2 linked regions of the Bombyx mori genome follow. The protein of the gene in region 2 interacts with the protein of the main gene of each other region in a pairwise test. Links are inferred from orthologs where the notes say so. Each region holds a gene or a part of one and is shown on either strand. Other genes may lie near its edges.

What was found.
Region 1: the proteins of serine/threonine-protein kinase pelle (region 2) and protein pellino interact in a two-hybrid assay, tested with the Drosophila melanogaster proteins (2 studies listed by BioGRID). The link is inferred for Bombyx mori from reciprocal best matches to the Drosophila melanogaster genes pll and Pli.

The regions. Positions count from the first base shown.
Region 1 is NC_085131.1:9,105,550-9,116,876, forward strand, and holds the end of protein pellino, read left to right. Parts: intron 1-1,645; coding exon 1,646-1,753; intron 1,754-2,109; coding exon 2,110-2,266; intron 2,267-4,633; coding exon 4,634-4,814; intron 4,815-6,209; coding exon 6,210-6,336; 3' UTR 6,337-6,348; intron 6,349-7,226; 3' UTR 7,227-10,567; downstream 10,568-11,327. UniProt on the Drosophila melanogaster protein: Scaffold protein involved in the Toll signaling pathway via its interaction with pelle/pll kinase.
Region 2 is NC_085132.1:11,571,664-11,584,052, forward strand, and holds the start of serine/threonine-protein kinase pelle, read left to right. Parts: upstream 1-4,385; 5' UTR 4,386-4,520; coding exon 4,521-4,640; intron 4,641-5,792; coding exon 5,793-6,006; intron 6,007-6,772; coding exon 6,773-6,849; intron 6,850-8,295; coding exon 8,296-8,379; intron 8,380-12,389. UniProt on the Drosophila melanogaster protein: Plays an essential role in the Tl receptor signaling pathway that establishes embryonic dorsoventral polarity; the signal directs import of dl into ventral and ventrolateral nuclei, thereby establishing dorsoventral polarity.

The DNA.
Region 1 (11,327 bases), on a different chromosome or scaffold from region 2:
GACGTCATTATCCAGTATATTGTGCTCTCTGTCTAGCACGAAATTAAAACTCTTTTAATATAGCTTCCTTATTTCTAAACAGATTTTAATTTTGTTTTTATTGATCTGCTCTATCGACTGTTCGTTTTTATAGTTAATAAAAAATCAGTCAGTCAATGTGTGAAATGTAGGAAACCTGTTTACCATTGAAAATGTTATGCCTGAAACTTTATGCAGCGTCTATGCTCTGTTCCTGGCATTACTGAACGTTTGAGAATTGGTTACCACTAATCGGATCACGGCCTGTATTTTCGTGTGCCTTAAGAGACTTACTACCTACTAATTTTATAAATCCAAAACATTACGAGGATAATTGGTGGTTTGAATTTGAATTTGAAGAAACTACTAAATGGATTTTGATGAACCTTCACGGTGCAATTATAAGATACGGGGCGCGCGAATTATTTCAAGAAATTGTTATTTTTCATAATCTTAATGTATATTAATTATAGTTTAATTTATAAAAACAATTAGTCATAGCAGAGAGTGATCAGATATAAAAAAAATACCCTGAACAGATAAGCTAGTTTGCGCAATAGCAAATATATAATGTAATGTTTGAATAAAACTGAGATTAAGTAATTATAATGAGGAAAATATTTTATCTCTGTTATCATAAAAGTGGGAAGATCTAGTTTCACGCGAGTGTCTTGCGTCAGGTGCTGTCGCAACGGTGTTCTGTAAACAAAATTCCTTGGAAGCTCTCATTAATGCTTTTTAGATTTATCAACTATAAATTCAGTCACCACTATCATCGGCATCAGACATATCTTCATTATTACAGTGCAACCTTAATATAACGAACCTCAATATAACGACGTCCTCGATTTAACAAATTCTTCGTTGTCCCCTTGAAATGTCCATAAGAGTCAATGTAAAATATGCCTTTACATTGCGAAGATTTCTTGCGAACAACCTCTTTATAACGAATTTTCTACTACTACAAAAAAGTTTAAGTACCTCTCTCTAATTAACGAATTTTGTCAACCCAAAGCCTATAAATAACTTTCCCACCAACATGACCATAGTATGTGAACCAGTCTCGCGTCAGGTTTGACAGAATTTGTTACGTACCTAATTGTTTTTAAATAGAAAATACATCCAGTAATTTGAAAAAAATGTATTATTAATCATTAGTAGAAGTTGTTCGCTAGAAAAAGATGAGTAGGTACGTAATGTTGAGGTGAATATATTTTTTTACCAGTTTATAACAAATGGTACGTACCAACGTAACCTTAATTTAACAAGCTTTAGTTTACCGAATTACTTGATATAATGAATATTTACTTGTTCCCTTCTGATTTGTTATGTTGAGGTTGCAATTATTATCTGACTGCTTACTTTCTACATAACGCCCACCTTTAATACTAATGGGAATGATAGAAGGGAGTCATGTGTGATGCAATTTAAATCTAGACCTTATGTAATTGGGTGATAGAATTTTACATTGTGGTGGCGCTAATTGATTAACATCATTTGGATTATGAACTTCGAGAATTTTCCGTTAACGCGATACAGAAGTATTTAAGTTTAAGCGCACAGATTTTGCTTTATTAAGGTAATAGTTTAAATAAAAATGACATTTTTATGTATTGTTTCTTTTTAGGGCTTGCCGTGCCAGGCAGAAACAAATGTACTCAGAGATGGGACAATGATAGATCTGTGTGGAGCCACATTGTTGTGGAGGAGTGCCGAGGGACTGAAGAATTCACCGGTACATTTATCTAATTTTACTATCATAAATTAATCTTTTTTTTTCATTTTTAATTTAACTAAATTTTAAATTTTCTAACATTTTAATCATCATTCAGGCTATTATATTTATTGTACGTATTAAATGTGTATGTAAACAATACTTTAATATGAGAAATGTAAAAGTATGTTTGTTTGTTTGTCCTTCTTTCGCGACGAAACGAAGCTATGGATTGAAATGATTTTATCAAAGTGATAGTTTTAGGTCAGTAAAGACACATTGGATAGAAGGTACATTTACTAAATTACCTTTAGAAAAAAAAACATCGACACTTTTCCTTGACGAAATTTCTAGAAATGTTGTTTTTCCACGTACAGACAAAACGCGATTTAGAAGCTCTAGTGGACGAGTTGAACGCCGGCCGGCCTCAGTGCCCGGTCGGACTCAACACGCTGGTCATTCCGCGGAAGCTGTCCACCGCGCACCAAGACCTCAACCAGCCCTACGTGTACCTCAACTGCGGACACGTGCAAGGTGAGGCCGGTGCACTAGTATATATCTCGCTACGTTGGTCATCGCAACATGAGAGCGTCTGAGCACCACACCATCGCGCGTTTCGTATTGGGTGACGGAAAATATAAGTAATCTAGTATATGTTCCATAACGACTATACATGTTTTTTTTAAGCGGTTACCAGAGCCCATAGACATCTACAACGTAAATGCGCCACCCACCTTGAGATATAAGTTCTAAGGTCTCAGTATAGTTACAACGGCTGCCCCACCCTTCAAACCGTAACGCATTACTGCTTCACGGCCGAAATTGGCGGGGTGGTGGTACCTACCCGTTCGGACTCACAAGAGGTCCTACTACCAGTAATTACGCAAATTATAAATTTGCGGGTTTGATTTTATTACACGATGTTATTCCTTCACCGTGGAAGTCAATCCTGAAGATTTCTTAAGTACGTATTTCATTACAAAAATTGATACCCGCTGGCTGGACAGGTGCATCGTTCAACACGAATGCACCGGACGTCTTATCCTTTAGGCCACGACGACGTTGTTGTAGGTGCGAGACATTTGGGTAATTGGAATTCAATGGATCAATCGAACATCATCCTATGAGCGGTATTGCTGGCTCTTAATATTACTATTAAAATTTGATAGGTCTCGCTGTACTGATTTACTTAATATGTTCATTAATTAAGAACTTGTAAGTACACTGATAGACATAGATATAAGGAAATATAATATTATTATTGACCCAATCTTTGAACTGTGCTGTTTGAGTTTAACCGGCTCAATACACGGTGACGTCGAAATGCTATTATGAATTAGTGTATTAATAAATACATCTTTAAAGTTTTGATATTCGTGTCACAACTGTTTGAGTATTAATATATTGAAATATTAAATCTATTATTTACACAATAAGATAGTGAATTTTATTAAACTAGTTGTAAGTAATTAATGTAGTGTTTGTACAAATGACATGTTAACGAATCAACGTCGCGTCATGCATTGATGGCTGTGATTGGCCAACGATGACGTCATATCGCACGAACCAATCACAAAACAGAAAATGCAATAGTGGCACCAATTGTCAAAATTTTAAATAATATAACACGAAGAAAAAAGATGGACGCGCATTTCAATTTTGTATTTGTAAAATAATTAAAAATAATATAATGAGTATTTGAAGAAGTAAACGCATTTATTCATTTTCTTGGCCACCTCAAGATACATCTAAGAAATAGACGCAACAGACATGAATATGTCGCGATACTCAATTTCATATTGTTTTATTGAAAATTTTCTAGATCAGACGAATTGACGTCCTCTCTTAAGTAATTACCGAACCCAAAATACAACAATGTAATTAACGTTTTACATTGAGTCACTAACTTATTGCTAAGATGGGCGGACGAGCTCACGGCCCACCTGATATTAAGTGGTTATCGGAGCCCATAGACATCTACAATGTAATAGCCGCCACTCATCTTGAGATATGAGTTCTAAGGTCTCAGTATAGTCACAACGGCTGCCCCGCCCTTCAAACCGAAACGCATTACTGCTTCACGGCAAAAATAGACCGGGTAGTGGTACCTACCCGTGCGGACTCACAAGACGTCCTACCACCAGTAAGTACGACAAATTATAATTTTGCGGGTTTGGTTTTTATTACACGATGTTATTCCTTGACCGTGGAAGTCAATCGTGAACTTTTTTCAAGTACGTATTTCATTACAAAAATTGTTACCCGCTTGCGTGATTCGAACACCGTTGCATCGATACTTACGATTCGGTATCGATTTCAAACCGGAAAACACTATTGCTTCCCAATATAAATCAAAGGCAAAGTTACATAGTATTTGAATAAGTTATTTTTTTATGAATTAGCAAGTTACATCGAATGTCATTCATTCCCGATCCTGCGGACAGAATGGAAAGCAGTCGACGTCGCCCCAAACACGTCATTTCGGATCCTCCCGATCCACTAACGGTGCTTTTAGGTACTTCAAGCACCGGTCACCGATCTCGTCGAACCCGTCGCTTGCGACGAAGGGCTCGACGAGTAAATTAACCCTCAGACACAGCCCACTGAGTTTCTCGCCGGATCTTCTCAGTGGGTCGCAATTCCGATCCGGTGGTAGATTCTGCGAAGCACGGCTCTCACTAGGGTTCGTGTTAGCAACGTCGTCAGGTTTGAGCCCGTGAGCTCACCTACTAGTTAAAGTTACGCTGAAATAGCCTCTGAAGGCTCTCAGCTAGGTAGGAAAAATAATAATAATAAAATAAAGAAGGTCATTGACCTCGGTCATTAAATACTTTCAATGATTGCGTGCTTAATCTTTGAGTACGTTTCCCGCATGTGATAGTTGTTGTTGGTTGTCTGCAGGGGAGCACTCGTGGGGCGCCGAGGGCAGCGAGACTGGGGTGCGGCGGTGCCCGATGTGCTTGACGGCGGGCCCCGTGGTGCGCGTGTGCATGGGCATCGAGCCCGCCTTCTACGTGGACGCGGGACCGCCCACGTACGCCTTCAACCCGTGCGGACACATGGCCTCCGAGAGAACCGTCAAGTGCGTGTAACTGTTTAACCTAACAACCTGTTGTCCAAACTAAATGGCAGTGTTACACATAGCGAAGAATGAAAGACTATGTGGTTTAAGCCACTTTTTGATTTATTGCTTAGATGGGTGGACGAGCTCACAGCCCACCTCATGTTAAGTGGTTACCGGAGCCCATAGACATCTACAAGGACACATGGCCTCCCAAAGAACCGTCAAGTGCGTGTAACTGTTTAACCTAACAACCGGTTGTTCAAACTAAATGGCAGTGTTACACGTAGCGAAGAGTGAAAGGCTATTTGGCTTAAATAACATTTTTTTTAAAGATTGGTGGACGAGCTCACAGCCCATAGACATCTACAACGTAAATGCGCCACACACCTTGAAACATAAGTTCTAAGGTCTCAGTATAGTTACAACGGCTGCCCCACCCTTCAAACCGAAACGCATTACTGCTTCACGGCAGAAATAGGCGGGGTACCTACCCGGCTCCTACCACGCTCCTACCACCAGTACGTTTCGCTTAATACGCTATACTTTTCTTTGTAATTATTAAAAGTACGTTTTATTTGGTATTAGCATCGACAAGTTGTTTTTAATTGAATTTCAATTAAATTCAACCTCTCGATATATATAACGGTTTTACAAAATGTAGTTTTATTTGCGAGAGTACTATCATAGACCAAGAAAAGAATCACAGACTTACATAGATTATATTAAAGTATAAACTAGAGATATAATTATCACACCATGAGTCTATCTATACTAATATTATAAAGAGGAAAGATTTGTTTGTTTGTTTGTTTCGAATAGGCTCCGAAATTACTGGACCGATTTGAAAAATTCTTTTTCCATTAGAAGCCGACGTTGTCCCTGATGAACATAGGCTACTTTTTTTTATTTATTTTTTTTATTTTTTTTTTTTGGTTTCATGTGTGTTTTAATGTTTCCGAAACGAAGCGAGGGCGGGTCGCTAGTAAACTATAAAGTAGGGTTCAACTTTCTAAGTTCAACAATAGATAATAACTAATAATTCTTCTAAGTACATTTCCAACGAAAACTGTTGAAAACCTAATTAATCATGTTTTATTTCAACAACTAATGTCGCAACTATAGAATTATAGACACCCATTTCGAAATATGTGGATTTCGACTTTAATTCAAAAATGTACCTAGAACGACCGACCCTTTTCAGTGACTCTTAATAATTAAATCACCAAAAGTAGCCTATAACGGGACAAACTTATACATCTGTCTCTTTCACTCCGTCCCCTGCCTCTACGTCTTTTCGGTTTCAAAACCTTTATTCGATGTTTTAAAAAAAACACATTTTTTGAGTTGGGTCTGTGTAATTCTAAAGGTTCGATCTGTCAGTGTCAGTTTTAAGCAAAGGTATTCCCTCGGCAGGTACTGGGCCAACGTGGACATCCCGCACGGGACCAACGGCTTCCACGCGATCTGTCCGTTCTGCGCCGCGCCGCTGCAGGGCTCGCCCGGATACGTCAGACTCATATTCCAGGACAATCTCGATTGAGACTTGCTAATGGTAAATTATTATCCTTACTAGAATAGAAGATCTATATATATAAAAATGAATTGCTGTTCGTTAGTCTCGCTAAAACTCGAGAACGGCTCGACCGATCTGGCTAATTTTGGTCTTGAATTATTTGTGGAAGTCCAGAGAAGGTTTAAAAAGTAGATAAATATGAAAATGCTCGGAATTAAATAAAAATAACAATTTTGTTTTCCCTTTGATGTCCCCACCGTCGGACGCATTCCTTGTGTTTGTCTTAAGTTTATTTTATACAAAAGTTTAGGTCTTTTGTTTATCGATTGAGGCACTACGAAGTATATTTGAATATAATTATATAAAAGATAATAAAAAGAATATAAAAATAAAAACCATTATCAATTACACTTTTGTTACCTTCATTTCACTTCATATGATTATGTGCATATCTTCTTTATTACCTCGAATTCTAAAGTTGACTTTCCATCTTCCAAATGTAATACAGTTAACGAAGCAGTAATTAACCAATTATCTGGTCATCGCCCTGGTCGAACCCGTCGCGAACGAAGGGCTCGGCGAGTAAATTAACCCACAGACAAAGCCCACTGAGTTTCTCGCCGGATCTTCTCAGTGGGTCGCGTTTCCGATCCGGTGGTAGATTCTGCGAAGCACTGCTCTTGCTAGGGTTCGTGTTAGCAACGTCATCAGGTTTGAGCCCCATGAGCTCACCTTCTAGTTAAGGTTACGCTGAAATAGTCTTCTCAAGACAATCAGCTTAGATAGGAAAAGAAAAAAAAAACTATTTTTCAAACTGTCTAAAATCTATATGTCAAAATTAACCATACAATAATACTCTTTGCCTAAATAAACAAGCTTTATCAATTTGTCAGTACAATATCTTGTTTTTTTTCTAGGTTCAAGCTCGAATCAACCATTGTAAATAGAGGGGATGCATACTGTAAAATCGTCTGTAAGAAAACGTAGCCTATAGACGCTTTGGGCCGAGGTTACCTATGCAGCTGAAGCGATTCGAACGAAACTCGCTATCGCTCATGAAACAAGGCCTCGGCCAAATCTCAGAACGATTATATTACACGTTATGAATTAGGTTATGACTTCCCTCAGTAGTTTGAGGATGCTTTCATGACTTCACGATGATGTAACGCGCACGTCGACGACGGAATCTCACTAAACGTGGCTTTCGGTTATACTAAATCACTAAAATATTCAACAGATGGCGGTACTGTTTTATAAAACAAACAAAAAAATTATAAGCTCACATTATACTGAACCCGTCTCTCAACTATTACAAATATTTTGATCTCGAAATGTTTTGATGAATTAGAATTAAAATGTTTGTTTTAAAACAGTACAACATCGGTACGACAAATCAATGTTATGTATTTCGTTAATTGAACAAAATACATTACGTTAGTTATATATAACAACAAAAGCGAATTACTAACTCGACGATTTAATCTTTTAAACTGATAAAAATAATAACTCTCAATAATCAACATATATACATATTGTATGTACTGGACAGAATTCAATTATAACTAATACCTTGAAAATGTAAGAAGCAAACTATGATTTAATAGGCAAATATTTCAAATTGCCGTTTTATTGATGGGTTCGTGTTGATGAATGAAGCCTCGCTTGGTGACTTTGAGGTAGGAAATGAAATTGTTTAAATTCAATCAAACATTGTTTCCTTAATAATTTTATGGTTGTAAAAAAAAAATGATATCTAAAATAAAGGTGTCCGAAATTATAATGGTCTCCTAAAGTCTAAAGAAAATGTTAAAAATTAATTGAAAGCATAAAATATGTACACCGTTTTTTATGTATGCAATGAGCAGATGTAATGCGTATTTTTTTGTCTTTTGGAATGTTGAAAGTTATACATGTAAATATTTAATAATAATCATAAAAAAAAAACAAATACTTTTAGCTAAGATATTATTTATATCGGTATTTCTGTGGCGGTTTCGAACGCTTTCTAGAAACAGAGAGCCTATGTAGTTTGTAAGTGAAGCGTTATTATTATGTATTGATGTGTGTGAGTTTTGTGTGATAAAGTTGCATCATACACACATTCATATATTATTATGATGTGCATAGCTTGAAGATTCATTCTTAACTTTATTTCGGCACATTTGTTTTTAATGGTCTGTTTGTCTTCTACAAGTGAACACGAGGCTTAAAAAGAGTTGGGTTTTTTTATGAATTTGATATTTAATTTCGGTATCTTACTAGCCGATCTATTTACTGCACAAAAATAATAAACTTTTTTTTTTTAGTAGTACTGTTAACAATATTTGCACGTTAATCTGAGTGCTCACACCTAATGAATTAGCTGGGAAAGACATATATATATATACCTATAAATGTTTTAATTCAGTCATTTTATTGTAGTTACACATCTAAGCAAGTAATAAAAATTGTATTACCCTGTATCACATATTCCTAAGTCATAGTACAAAAAATATGTTTATGTAAGTTTGTTTATGTACTGACTTAATAGTAAGAACGAATCGAATAATGGTCGTGATAAGAATAGTTTTTTTTTAAATATTTGTTCTATAAAATTGCACTCAAATTTAAATTTCAAAACTATTTCAACAAGTGGCTGATTAGCATGCAACCTTGTGCCTGTATTGAAAAAAAATGACCTTCTTGATACCCATAGAGACGTACGAATTAAGACCCTATTTAATTTAGCCGCGTAAAGTGGTATTGATTAACACTAATTAAAAATAACTCGACATAGATGCATAATGTCGGACACTTATGTATGTATGTCCTAATCTACTGTAGCACTCGATAATGCCACCATTATAACATATAATTTTTTGAAATAGTACTAAAACTACAATATTCAAAATTGAATACGAATAATGATGATGTCGCAAAATGTAGATCCGACGTTATGGTTCTGATATCGAGAGCTGCTTTATTTTTTTTTCGTTCGTAAATGTTTGCATGTAAAGAGTTAGAGGCTCGTAGTAGGCTGGACCTGTATGCTTAGTGTGAGTTTTTTAACGTTCTCGATAGCGTAAAAGTTAGCTCACATTTGTTTGCAGTTGGAACAGCGCCCCTAGCGGCAAACGTAGGCAAATTTGCATACAAATTTGAGTTAACTTCTACGTTATCGAAAACGTTAAAAAACTCTCACTAAGCACACTGTAGGCTTCGATCTCGGGGTTTATGTACGTGATCAAATCGAAATAAAAGCATTTAGGAAACTGAGTTTAAAGACTAAACTCGAATTTCAAGGATATTTGTTATTAATAATAAAATCGATTAGTATTTGGTGTCCTAAAACGAAATGTAAATAAAGTAAGTTTTATAGGCGTAGTGGTTAGCTTACGAAAGGTAAAATTTAGTTTTTTATACTATTCGAGTTTCACCGTTTAGTCGATTTAACATAAAAAAAAACATTTTTAGTGATTTCTTTTTGAATGGAAAAAAATTGTAACACTTTTTGTTTTTCCTTACTATGACCTGTTTTTCTGATGGAAAAGTTTTCAAGCGTTCGGCTCAAACTGGTCGCATGGATTAATTCCTATTAGTTCCCGTTCAATTATCGATATAAAACCTTGAAACGGGTCGATTGTGAATTTATTTTCGTATTTTATTTATTGCGCTAAACTATGCGGCGAGCTCGTGGCCGACTTGGTTACCTTGTAACCAGAAGCTTGTAGACATCAGAACATGAAATCGAAGAATCAAAGTTCCGCCCTCGAACCGGAGCAAAAGGAGGGACTGCGGCACCCGCTCGCGCGTACTCGCAATACGCTTCTTACTGCTAATAAAAAGTGCATTATTCAAATCTTGTGATTCTTTGTTTTACGACGCGATTATGGACTGTTTAATTAATTAATTCACCTATTACGATGATTGAATGTTTATCATTAGTTTTGATTAGAAACTGAGATTTATGTGGACAATGTAGTTACGCTTATAATTAATTATGTAGCGTCTTTGCGCTTTGAGCTAACATTGTGATAACCTAATGTATGCTGCATACAATGAAACAACAGAAATAGCTGTCGTTTTGTGTGTACATACCAAAATGTCCAGCAGTATTGAAATCTGTTTGTAATGTGCGTTTGCAATGTTACGTTTAAAGCGCAAATGATCGATTTTAAAACTTATTATTACGGTAATAAGAACTGATTGCTAGCCTTAATTTTATTTATAATACCTATGTGCTAGGATAATAAATTGCTCCTTTGAGTTAGAAAATTCACTTGGTGTTTGTCTTCCGGTTACCTTAATGTTGTTGTTTATGCACGCGGTTTTCCTAACAATGTTTGAAAATATGTAATACATTTTAATTTGCATATTTCGCGCACCCGCGTACCGAAAGAGAAAGGTAGCGCAAGAAGAAACCGCTGAGACGGAGACGTGATGATTATTTTCTTATATTTTTCTTCAATTATCGGCACTGACTCTTGTTATTATTGTCGGATCTTCAAATATGAGAACAGATATGAACGTGAAGGAAATATGCATAATGCGTGGGATTTGTTGCTCTACATTTTTTGTGACAATTACTACCGCAATATACCGTTACCCGCACGTTATTAGACCTGATCTCTTTTGTAAAAAAGTGCGGTACTTTTGTAAAAAATCAAGACCATCTCAATCCCATCGGCCTATAGACATCATCACATCAGTGCCCGGTCACCGTCCGCGCCGAACCCATAGACACAGCCCACTGAGTTTCTCGCCGGATCTTCTCAGTGGGTCGAGTTTCCGATCCGGTGGTAGATTCTGCGAAGCACTGCACTTGCTAGGGCAAGTGTTAGCAATATTCCCAGTTTATGACCCGTGAGCTCACCTACACGTCAAGGCGAAGCTGAAATAGCCTCTCAAGGCTATCAGCATAGGTAGGAAAAAAAAGGACATGAGTGCTGAACATGGGCCAAGGTCCTCCGCCACAATGACTTGTCCTGTGTCGCCCGTAACCAGAAGATTTGCACGACCTTCAACAAGTCGTTTGTCCA
Region 2 (12,389 bases):
ACAAACTCTTCAGCTTTATAATAATAGGGGTTAAAGTATGAAATTGCCGTTCTATTACTAATAGGTACTTCGAATTGACATAGAACCTTCATGGTTTGAGAATTTTGAATGTCGTCGTGGCCTAAGGGATAAGACGTCCGGTGCATTCGTGTTGAGCGATGCACCGGTGTTCGAATCCCGCAGGCGGGAACCAATTTTTCTAATGAATTACGTACTCAAGAAATGTTCACGATTGACTTCCACGGTGAAGGAATAACATCTTGTAAAAAAAATGAAACCCGCAAAATTTTTATTTGCGTAATTACTGGTGGTAGGTACCACCGCCTTGCCTATTTCTGCCGTGAAGCAGTAATGCGTTTCGGTTTGAAGGGTGGGGCAGCCGTTGTAACTATACTGAGATCTTAGAACTTATATCTCGAGGTGGGTGGCGCATTTACGTAGTAGATGTCTATGGGCTCCAGTAAACACTTAACACTAGGTGAGCTGTGAGCTCGTCCATTCATCTAAGCAATAAAAAAAAATTTTTGAGTGAAACTTTTCTCAAAGGGTACAGAGGTTCTTCTTTTAAAAAATGCGCAACATTCGATTACCTATCGACTTCAGTTGTTTTTTTTTTTATTTCAGCTTCGACAAGAAAGATGAATATTTCGAAAATTCGAGTGATTTTTGAATACGATTTCCGACGCGGAACTAACGCTGCAGAAACAGCTCGCGATATCAATATTACGTTTGGAGAGGGACTGCTAATGAACACACCGTCCGATTTTGGTTTAAACACTTTCATGATGGAAATTTTGATTTGAAGAATGTACCACGTGGAAGACGTGTGAATCACACATGTGAATAACAATGAATTGCAAGAGATGGTGGAAGCCGATCCGAGCCAAACTACCCAGGAATTAGCGGCATGGTTTAACATTACCTTAACAACAATATTGACTCATTTGCGTCGAATCAATAAAATCAAAAAATATGAAGAATGGGTGCCTCATGATTTGACTGATCTGCAGAAAGAAACGCGTGTTGAAACTTGTGTTGCCTTGTTGAATCGATACAGAAATGAAGGAATATTGGATCGAATTGTGACTTTGCTCCAACGGACTACCATTTTTTTCGTTTTTCGTGATTTGGACAATTTTCTACGTGATAAAAAGTTTTCTTCCCAGGAGGCAGTACAAAATGCTTTCACACAGTTTATGGAATCTAGATCACCAGAGTTCTATCGCAAAGGTATAAATGACCTTCCTATTAGATGATAGCAATGTATAGATAATAATGGTAGATATTTTGATAAAATAAGTATGTTAAATGAAAAAAAAACGACTTTAATTTTTCAGTACAAATCGGCAATTTTATACTTTAACCCCTAATTATAGATCACCGTATTGAGTAAAGCAAATTGAGTAAAGTCATTCAAACATATTGATTCACTTATGATACTGTAAACATAATTAGTCAGGTCGCAACTAGGAGACTGCTCCTCTGCTTCGAGCCCTTAATTAGATAGTGAATAAAATTACTGATGTGAGCTAAATTCACAAAATTATTAAAGTCTTGCAATTATTTATTAACATCAGCTTACATCGAACACGTCTGTTTTGATACTCCACTTTAAAAAAAAATGTTGCGCGCAATAATTCGCTTTACCGTTCCGTATCAATCATGTGATGATATTTGCTTGATGTCCTACCTGAGGACGTACTTCGTCGATATGAACGATCGATCTAAATTGAATCTTTACATTTTTTTATTTTAACCTTAATAAAATAAGTTTTCTTTATTAAGACATGTATATTTGGAAAATACAACTGAATTTAGGGAATTCAAGAGGTCTGGCAACCGGTTATGTTTGACACTCATTCCAGTAGTGACGCGACGACTCGATTTTTGGTAACCTTTAACTTTCATTAAAAAAATCAAGTTAGAATCACTTACTCCAAATTAGTCCCAGTTCTGTACAAAACGAAAATTTACTACTGTTGAACGACGAAACAGTCATGGTTACTGTTTGGTGGCCTAGTGCCTTCTTTATTCACCATAGCCTCTTACCAAATGATACTAGCCTTACAGTTGATGTGTACTTTGAGAAAGTGAATCCAATTATTGAGAAGTTCACGAATCTCCGGTCAGCATGGCTCATCCTCGTTACTAGCACTCGAGCTGATAGGTCACAATAGCTGGTACGTAAATGCGCCACCCACCTTGAGATACAAGTTCTAAGGTGTCAGTATAGTTACAACGGCTGCCCCACCCTTCAAACCGAAACGCATTACTGCTTCACGACAGAAATAGGCAGGGTGGTGGTACCTACCCGTGCGGACTCAAAAGAGGTCCTGCCACCAGTAAAACCACCATTATTTAATTTCAATCCAACTGTAAACAATTGGATCAAATAATTCGACTTCATCTGATTCTAATCCATATATTAATATACCTAGTCTTGCCATAAATACTGAGACAAAGGAAAAAAAAATCTGTATATTGAAGATAAGCAATGTAAATAGAAAGAGAACAACTAAACCAAAGTAATAGAAGATAAACCAGCGACTACTTAGTCTGGCCATAAATACTGTTACAATAAAAAAATAAAAAAATCTATTGCAAATAACATTTATTACTTTTACAGTGTGTTAGTTTAATACATAGATATAAAATAATTTAAAGTATAAAAAGCTTATTCGAAGTGGTCTCCATTGGCTGCAATACAGTCCTTTGAATGTTGAGGCCAGTTATCAATAGAAGCACGCACTCTTTCCATGGGAAAAAATTTCACTGCCAATCGGACGGATTGTTTTAGGGACTCCAAATTATCATGGCGTTTAGAGCAAGCCGTACTCTCTAAAACTGACCATAAATCATAATCCAGCGGGTTAAGATCGGGACTAGACGACGGCCAGTCTTCAGCTCTGATGAAGATGATGAAAGAAGAAGAAGATGAAAAAAAAAAAAAAAAACATGCCCGCTGAGTTTCTTGCCAATTCTTCTCAGGACGGAGGCTAATTCTTGTGAATTGGCGGTAATTCTTTTGACGTTCAACAAGTATGTACTTTCATTTATGTTGAATAAAATTTTTTGATTTGATTTGATTTGATTATAACATTATGCCGAAAGTGATTAAAAGTGCTAGCAGGGATATTGTTTAGCAGGTTAAACGTGCTTGCGAAGAAGAACGAGACAAAAACGGGCCTATATTACCATTTCAACGTAATTTTTGGGCCTACCAAATCTTTAAAAGTTCCGCATTTTTCTCGATTTATTTGTTAATTATTCAATTGTAGTTCTCTTCTTAAAAGCAAGAAACGGGAAGAACAAGATTTCTGAATTAGATGATTTTGATAAGTCTGCTATAAGACATAAAATATTATATTTGTTTGATATCGAGAAGAATGAAATCCCTACAATAAACAAACTTTGGTTGGAATTAAAAACTGATATTAATTTTAAATACAGTAGAACATCTATAAGAAGCATCCTATAGGTTACAGTTACAAGAAGTGTAAAGTCTAGTATGGCTTCTGATGAAAATGTCCGAATCGAAGGCATTGACTGCAGGACCATTTCTATGCCAAATTTAAATATACTGCATGATATTAAATAAACAACTTACAAGGTTTTTATTGCGTTTTAATCTCCTTATTATATCCTAATTGAAATAGCCTAGTGCAACAACTGTATTCTGTATATCTCAATTACTTTTAGTATGTAAAATGAGATATCACTTCATTAAACGAAGGAATAAATATTAGTCAAGCTGGCAACATAATGCAGTACGCACGCAACCAGTAGCGTGCAGACTTATCTTGCGCGCACTCTATTTGTGTTTTATGTTTATTCCTAGCATCAACACAACTAACACAATTTATCTGCTTATAGTCCTTGAGTAGTTATTACACGACACTGGCAAAAATAGCTCTGTGTATAGGTAGATTGGTAATAAACAAAGAAATAAAAGAGTTAGGGTGCATTTTATAGGTTGCTTTTGGTTTGTCTTTTAATTGTCTATAATAAATACTTTTATAGTCAATGTACTCAATCTTTACAATCCATGTGAATAGCGCTATAACCCAATACAAATCTTCTGATCGCACCGCTCAGAGAAAAGGAGCAGAAATTCCTCGACATTGTCTTACAAATTTTTTAACGTAAACGAAACCAAGAAGACACGGTCTAAGTATTCAATTCGAGTCGAGTTCTGGATTCCAGGTAACTGTTATCTTCTGAGATTAATATTATGTTATGAGATAACTGTTAAATGACTATGAAAGGATTCAGGCTCACCTGAATCAGTTGAAATTAATGTACTCTTTGCCTAATTTGAAAGTTCGGCCATCACTACATGACAGTGAAATTCAGTTAAAACGTCATAGATCTTAAACAGTCCAGAGACAATAGTACACAATTACTGTCAATTACACATAGTATAAATAAACAGTCGTAGGAAACGCTACCTGCTGAATGAAACACAATTAAATCAATGTGATGTTTTGGACTGAAACTAAAGTCCTTAATAATTAGTGAAAATGTACATTTACGAATTACCACCCGAGATTAACAAAGAACTATGTCGACTTTTGGACAACTTCGATTACTGGGAGGAGCTGGCCGGCAATTACATGATGTACACAGCGATGGACGTCATCGTAAGTATATTTATTACTAAGAATCACTTGGGATTTCCCAAATGCAGACCTTAGGGAACTTTAATGAAAAATCCGATTGAAGAACAAAAATTTCGCTGTTCCTGACACAACACAGTATAGCACAATATAAAAACAGTAAAAGTATACAAGTCAAATCAAATCAGTCTTATATTTAAGTAGGCCGTTACTGATGTCATTTTTTATCACCGATTTGGAATACTGTTTTGCTCCTGAATCAGCAAGGATCTCTGAACTTGTTCTTTCCATCGCAACACAAAAAAATTACTACATTTTAAGATCAAATTAAATATTTCATTGAATTGAAATTACTATGACTTGAACAGGTCAACACTACTGAACCAATTAAACATAAGTTTAGTATTCTTGCTGTGAGGAGCACAATTTCAAACCTATGTATGTAGTTCCTTCATTCACATAGCAATTGACATATGTCATTAATTGACTAATAAATTTAGTACGTAATTGTTTTCCTTAAACTAATAATTGTTTACTAGAATTTGCTTGGAGTATGATCTCCAAGCACTGATGGATCCAGAACTGGATGAAATCTGACCTATAATACAACTAGTGTTACAAAATATTTGCATAAAACATTTTGTGAAAGTTCATTAATATTCAACTTTCACTGTTATGAAATCATATATGTTTTACATGTGAATGCTAAAAAAATTTATATTTCCCAATTGACAAATTATGAATGGTATAAAATATTATTATATTATATTATATTGAGGTTAGAGATGAGAGATGTTGGAGTTAGAGATGAAAATATGGAAATCATAATATTTGCACTATGTAGGCCAAAACATCTACATATTTAATTATAAGTATGAAAAAAGAAAACAGCACCATATATTGATCCTCAAAGGGCAGGTAGTTCTCTACTCCTTGATGTGTACATTTTTGATGGGTACACATCAAGTATGATGATACACATGATACAAATCATATACTTGATGGGTACATTTTTTTATGTGAAGGACTTAAGAAGCTCCATACCTTTTTGCTTTGTTTATCACTCTTTTTATGAATTTCTTGTGTAGTAGTTGTGTTCTAATGATAGATGATAAAGATAAAGTTCTAATGATAAAGATGAATGAATTAATTTGTAATGTATGTTTATCTATTTAGGAAATAAAAGAGAAGGCTCGTCATCAGGGCATATCCCCAACGGAATACCTCCTGGAGTGCTGGGGGCAGAAGAACCATCGAATTGAGGAACTGTTTGTGTTGCTGTACCGCATGAAGCACATTCCTGCCATGAGGCGGCTAACCGGCGTCGTGCACGAGAGGTTCCATAGACTCCTACACAAGCTGGAGGCGGGGAACGGACAGGATGGAAACAGTCAGTATACTAGTTCAATAAAATTACAGAATAATATTTAAAGTTTGTAGATTGACCCCAGTCGAGTTGATTGGATATAGCATGAGAAGTCGGAGATTTAAGTATCCGAATGTTAAAATGTACATACAAAACAGTACATAGGTATTTTAAATTCAAATTTCATTGGAATATTAAAATAAAATATATATTCTTTTCCTACTTTTTAGTTTGACTTAGTAAAAAAATTCTTTACTTATTTTACTACAGATAATTATATTTTATAAAAGTTTCAACAGTAAGAACTTTTCATTACAATTGATAAGAATAACACACCTCGCGATGTGCTGTCCTGTGGATTGTGTACGACTAAACGTTAATATTAAAATGCTCATTTATTTATATATGGGTGAGTGCGGTCAGGACGTTAGCCAATGTTATAAAATTATTGTACTGTCGGCGGTTCTTGCCACGTGTGCAACTTGCTGTGTGTAGTATAGTAGTATGGCGTCTTAAAGTTTGTGATAGCTAATTATTCTATTGCATAGATATAAGAATGTGGGTTTTTATTAGCGGTGCCTACCCGTGCGGGCTCATTGTAATTAAAAATAAATTTAACAACTAAACTATATTGGAATAAGAAACTAAGGCAAACATAAATGTGAATAGTGTTGTGCGTCGGCCCGGGTACCTGCCACGGTTCGGCCTATATCTGCCGCCGTGCAACTGTCACTAAGAGCGTTAAAACGTTGAGTTCGCAAGGCTAGGGCACCCGGTACGCTTGTTACAGACGCGCGCACCGGCGGCGCGCAGAGGGCCACCACCAGCAGCGACTCCGTCCCGCTCCCGGTCATACTCTTTGATCAGGTAACTAACCTTTCCATGACTTTAGTTTATCAATAAGGGGGATGATGCGTCAAAGTTGGTTTTAGGAAAACAACATCAATCGCAAATTAACATTAAACATTCTCATTAGCATACATTGAATTTATTTTGAAGTAGGTGTCATAATTCAGTATAAAATTAAATACCGCAAATCTTTATGTAGATAAAGGGGAATGCCAGGTCGCCATAGTAATTTAGGCCCACAGTGCACATTTATACAGTCATGATAATAATAGCAGACAACGGCAATAATTAATTAGTAAAAAAAGGAATGTAGAAAAAAGGTGGCATTTTAAAGTTATTCAATAATTTTATCTCTCGTCAATACATGTTATATAAAATGTCCTGTATGTAAAATCCTGTATTAGTTTATCTATTGTTTTATTTTATTTAGAACTAAAATCTATTAGAAATGAAATAAAACACATTACATGGCAGATTTACTCATCAATTTCATTATCATACTACCAAAACATCATCTAAAAATTGAGCTGGAGGGAAAATATTACACACAGTACACAGGGCACAGCATCCTACCGTAAGTAACCGTATGTATAGGTAAAAGCTGTCGATTTAAACCAATAAACATGTACACAAACAGTCACAAGGCAGTTGCAAAACAAGCAATGATTTTGACATTTAAGATTTCCGTCTTCTATCAAGGCAGTAATGGTGTTGCCATAAAAAACAAAAAAAAAACGATAATAGTTACTTTAACTTAATCAATGCTATCATTATATATATATTTTTCACAAAATGAATAGTGAAATAATGTATGATAGAAAAAATTAAATTATTTTTCCAGTTAATTTTCTGTCAACATATTTTTTGTCGGGGAAACATTTGTACGGTAATGTATGGTACCCTTCCAAGCGTAGTCGTTAAATGTTTAATATTTTTGGAAAATTTTTACCAACTTGCACAGAATAATGAATACAAGGAAGAACTAGGATAAATATTAATATATTTTTTTAGTGTAACCAGATTACTGTGCAGCTCTGGGCCTAGATCTGGCCTGCCCCTTTTTTGCAACATCCAAGGCTCAACCTGAGAGAAATTGCTAACACTGCCCCTAACAAAAGCAAAGCTGCGCTGGATAGATCCATGGATCGGAATTGCTACCCGCTGAGAAGATCCGCCGAGAAATTCAGTGGGTTATGTCTATGGGTCAGTTCGCTCGCAGGACGGTGACCGGTGCTAGCGGCGGCCACGATATCGTGTCGAGCCGCTTTGTCGAAATAGCGTTCTGACGCTACCTTAAGATGTTATGGGTCGGTTCTAAATTTAAATGACTCACACGACGGAATTTATAAGAGAATATAGCCGTTATTGCGCGTCAGTCTGTCCGTGCTGCGCGATGTTATCATCTCGAGTGGTGCGCAAGTAGTTCCAATAAGCGTCTTATTTGATTTGATTTTGGAATTACAGGGGATCAGGCAGGCTCCCTCGAGCAGCGGACTCAACGGGCGCTCTCCCTCCGCGGACACGAGCTCGGCCACCAGCACCAGCACCGTGAGTGCCTCTCTGTCGAACGAACCTCGCGCAAACATATACGGATTGTGTTACTGATAGCGGACACTGCCACGGTCGCGTCGTGCAGGCTCGCCCTGGGGCATCACGAAAAATGCCTACACAAAGTGAATATGTTCAGGACATAATTTTATATAATGTTTTACATAAACAGGATGTTCCACAAGGGGTACATCAAGTCCCATTCAAGTACATCATTCACTGGTGGTACCTGTGTGGTACTGGTGGACCTCTTGTGAGTCCGCACGGTTAGGTACCACCACCCCGCCTATTTCTGCCGTGAAGCAGTAATGCGTTTCGGTTTGAAGGGTGGGGTAGCCGTTGTAACTATACTGAGACCTTAGAACTTATATCTCAAGGTGGGTGGCGCATTTACGTTGTAGATGTCTATGGGCTCCAGTAACCACTTATCACAAGGTGGGCTGTGAGCTCGCCCACCCATATCAGCAATAAAAAAAAAAACATCAAAAGATGCCTATTCGTATCGGAAATCAACTTGTGAATACTGGTTGTAATTGAGTGCCCATACTTAATGGCGAATGACGACCACTCACCATCAGGTGGGCCGTATGTCGAGTTCGCACGAGTTGTTTTTATTAAACTACTAGCTGACCCGGCAGACTTCGTAGTGCGTCAATCGATAAATAGAAGACCTAAACTTTGGTATAAAATAAACTTAAAACAAACAAAAGGAATCCGTCCGACGGGTCAGAGGAAAAACAAAATTGTTATTTTTATTTAATGCGAGCATTTTCATATTTATTTACCTTTTAAACCTTCTCTGGACTTCCACAAATAATTCCAGACCAAAATTAGCCAAGTCGGTCCAGCCGTTCTCGAGTTTTAGCGAGACTAACGAACAACATTTCATTTTTATATATATAGACTAGCTGTACCCGTCCGCTTCGCTGGGCATTTAAAATTAACATTATTATTTCTCACCTCCCACAAAGATTCTCATTATTAACGCCTCCGCAACTGGTGTAGAAAGTCCAACACTCATATAAATATTAGCCTATTCATTAAGTACATGTATTTTCTACATGGATACCAAGTTTCAAGTCAATCGGATGCACGGTTCAGTAGTTATAACGGAACATCCGTAAAACCACTGTAGATCTATATATTAGTATAGATATACATTAATAATTACACCTTACATTTTTTTACTTATATGATTTGCATCAGTGATACTAACCGTGCTTCGATTGTACTCCCCTTGTGAGATACTCTGTATAAGATTATAGTCCCAAAAACTCCAATCTACCACCCAGTACTGAAGATATACAAAGGAGACTGAAACAATTACATACATTTTTGGGCCCGAATGTAACGTGATGAAACTAATATGAATTAATAGATTCAGATTTATCAGTACCTTGCTGAAAATTCTAAAAGTTTTCTCAATCTGAGAGCCGAGTTAATAAAGATTTAGTAAAAGTTAGGTTATGTTACAATCTCTATAAAAGAGCTGAATAATAACTTATTTAAGCATAAGTAAATGTTTATTATATCCATTAGATAATCTTTTGAATGTCATATTATGAATGAATATTAATTATCTATATCAGGTATAGATTTACCTAAAAGGCCTCGAAAAAAATAAAACACAACGTATTGTATACCTAGTGTATTGTACCTTCAATTATTATTAAAATGCCGTTCAGGAAGAGTGAGTGCAGGGGGAACAATATTATCTTGTTATGTACCTAAACCAGCTAAGGTACCATATAATACTGTCCAAGGGTCCAACCATATAATATAATCCAACCGTATAATACTGTAACACTGTCCAAGGGTCGACGGCCTATGGAATTGTTATGATTAATTGCTATCCCACAATTCACACAGTGATCCATAATTTCAACAGTATCCAATTCAACAATTTCAAGTCAAACGTGTGAGCGATCTTCGGTGTCCAGTGTAGAAGCAACTGTCGTACAAGGCAGGCAGGGTTGGAATCCGTAATAATAAAGCAGTGATCGTTGAAAATAAATAAAAACAGCTATATAGATACACACTCAAAACGCTTCGAAAATACAAAACGAGTAGAGCAGAAAAAACCAACAAGCGCCAAAACCCAAATATTAAGTGTATAATCTATGAACAAGCGTCATGTCAAAGCTGTCAGACTTTTTGGCGGGAACGCGAGGAGTGAAGTTGTGTGATTTGTTTTCTTTTGTCTATTTAGTGTTTCTTCGGGTTTAAATGTGTAATAATGGTGGTTTATTAACTGTTTAATATCTGTGAAAGTGCACAAATGTGGGTAAATGAAACAAAGCCGCTGGCTGTCACTTCTCGGGATCCTCCAAAAAGTCTCAGTAGATGACCACCATTTTACTGAGATTATATTTCATCCCATATGATCTCATCTCATTTAATTTGATTTCATCCCAGTTCATTAATGTCTCAAATTAATCATCTTCATTTCATTTCATCATTTTTCATAAAAATAAGAAAATAAATGAAAATAAGACATGACTTAAAGGTCTTAGTTACCAGAACATAAAATCCCTTAAAAAAAAATCAAAGCTGTCATTAAAAATACAATTGATTTTAATCGATTTGAAATCGATAATCATATTACTTTGTTAAGTAATAATAGACTTTTTCTTTATTTATGTATATAATCGCAATTAAATTCGCCGTATACCGCACTTGTATACAACAAGTATAAATCGCTCATTTAATTAATTTGCATTCATTACTTAATGTAATGTTTTTCTTTTTATAATCCTGTAATCGATTAATTAAATAGATCACACCGCTAAACCGAGAAAAACCAATTTTCTCATTTTTCTCCGGTCCCAGTAAAAGGATTGAGGTGATTTTTTATATTCTTACTAGCTGACCCGGCAAACATTGTTTTGCCATACTATATAAGATTTCTAGGGAATTTCTAGTGTAGAAAAAAAAACTAACTTATTGTAAGTGTATAAGGATGTGGTAAATGAGTGAAAGAGGTATGTAGTGCTGTGAACGATGAGGGAATATATAATAAAAATAACAAAACCTCATTCAACCACATAATACCTCATTATAACAAAAAAAAAATTGTCCAAATAAAAAAAAATATGTTAGGGGTGGACAACCCTAATCACTTAGGGGTATGAAAAATAGATAGTAGCCGATTCTCAGGCTTACTGAATATGCATAAAGAATTTCATGAGAATCGGTCAAGCGGTTTCGGAGGAGTATGGGAACGAACATTGTGACACGAGAATTTTATATATTAGATACAAAAAAATATGACAATTTTTTTAGACTACATTTCAAGTTATTACATTTTTGGCCCACGATTTTCCGTCTCCAAATTTATTGTATTCTTATTGCACTTGAAACACACACATCTCGTCTTTGTATATAGTGCGCGCGGAAGCGCTAGTCACCTCCTGAGGTATGTGGCGGGGTAAGACGGGGGAGGGCGTGATTGACAAGACGCACACGATATTATATTTAAGTGCAGATAAATCTCAGAATAACATGTTAGAATTAATGTAATGGGTACCTAATTGTAATATTGTATTTTTCTATTTCTTGGTTAAACAAAAAATTCATATTCAAAAGTGTTTATTAAATTTTATAATTTACGATACAAAACAATTTTATAAGCAAATTAACATTTGTTAATAAGAAAATAATAAAAAAAAACGCTATCACTGTTATAGTACATTATAAAAAAAATTAATTATTTATCTGTTTTTATTTTTTATCAACAATCTTTTTTATTTCATTAGGATTTCGTGGAGAAGTAAATTTTGGTTTTTCCGATTCGAAATTCCTTCAGCTACAATTCTCATTACGGTCTGAGAAAAAAAACTGCACATTGTAAATTACATTTTACCCATCTTAGGATATTTTATCTCGTGTATGTTTGGAGCAAACTGAACAACTGAATTGTGTAACCGGCGCGGTGGTCGAGTCGACGGGCGGCAGACTGAGTTAGCTTGACGTTTGTCTACCTCCCCCGCCCTGCCGCTCACATACCTCAG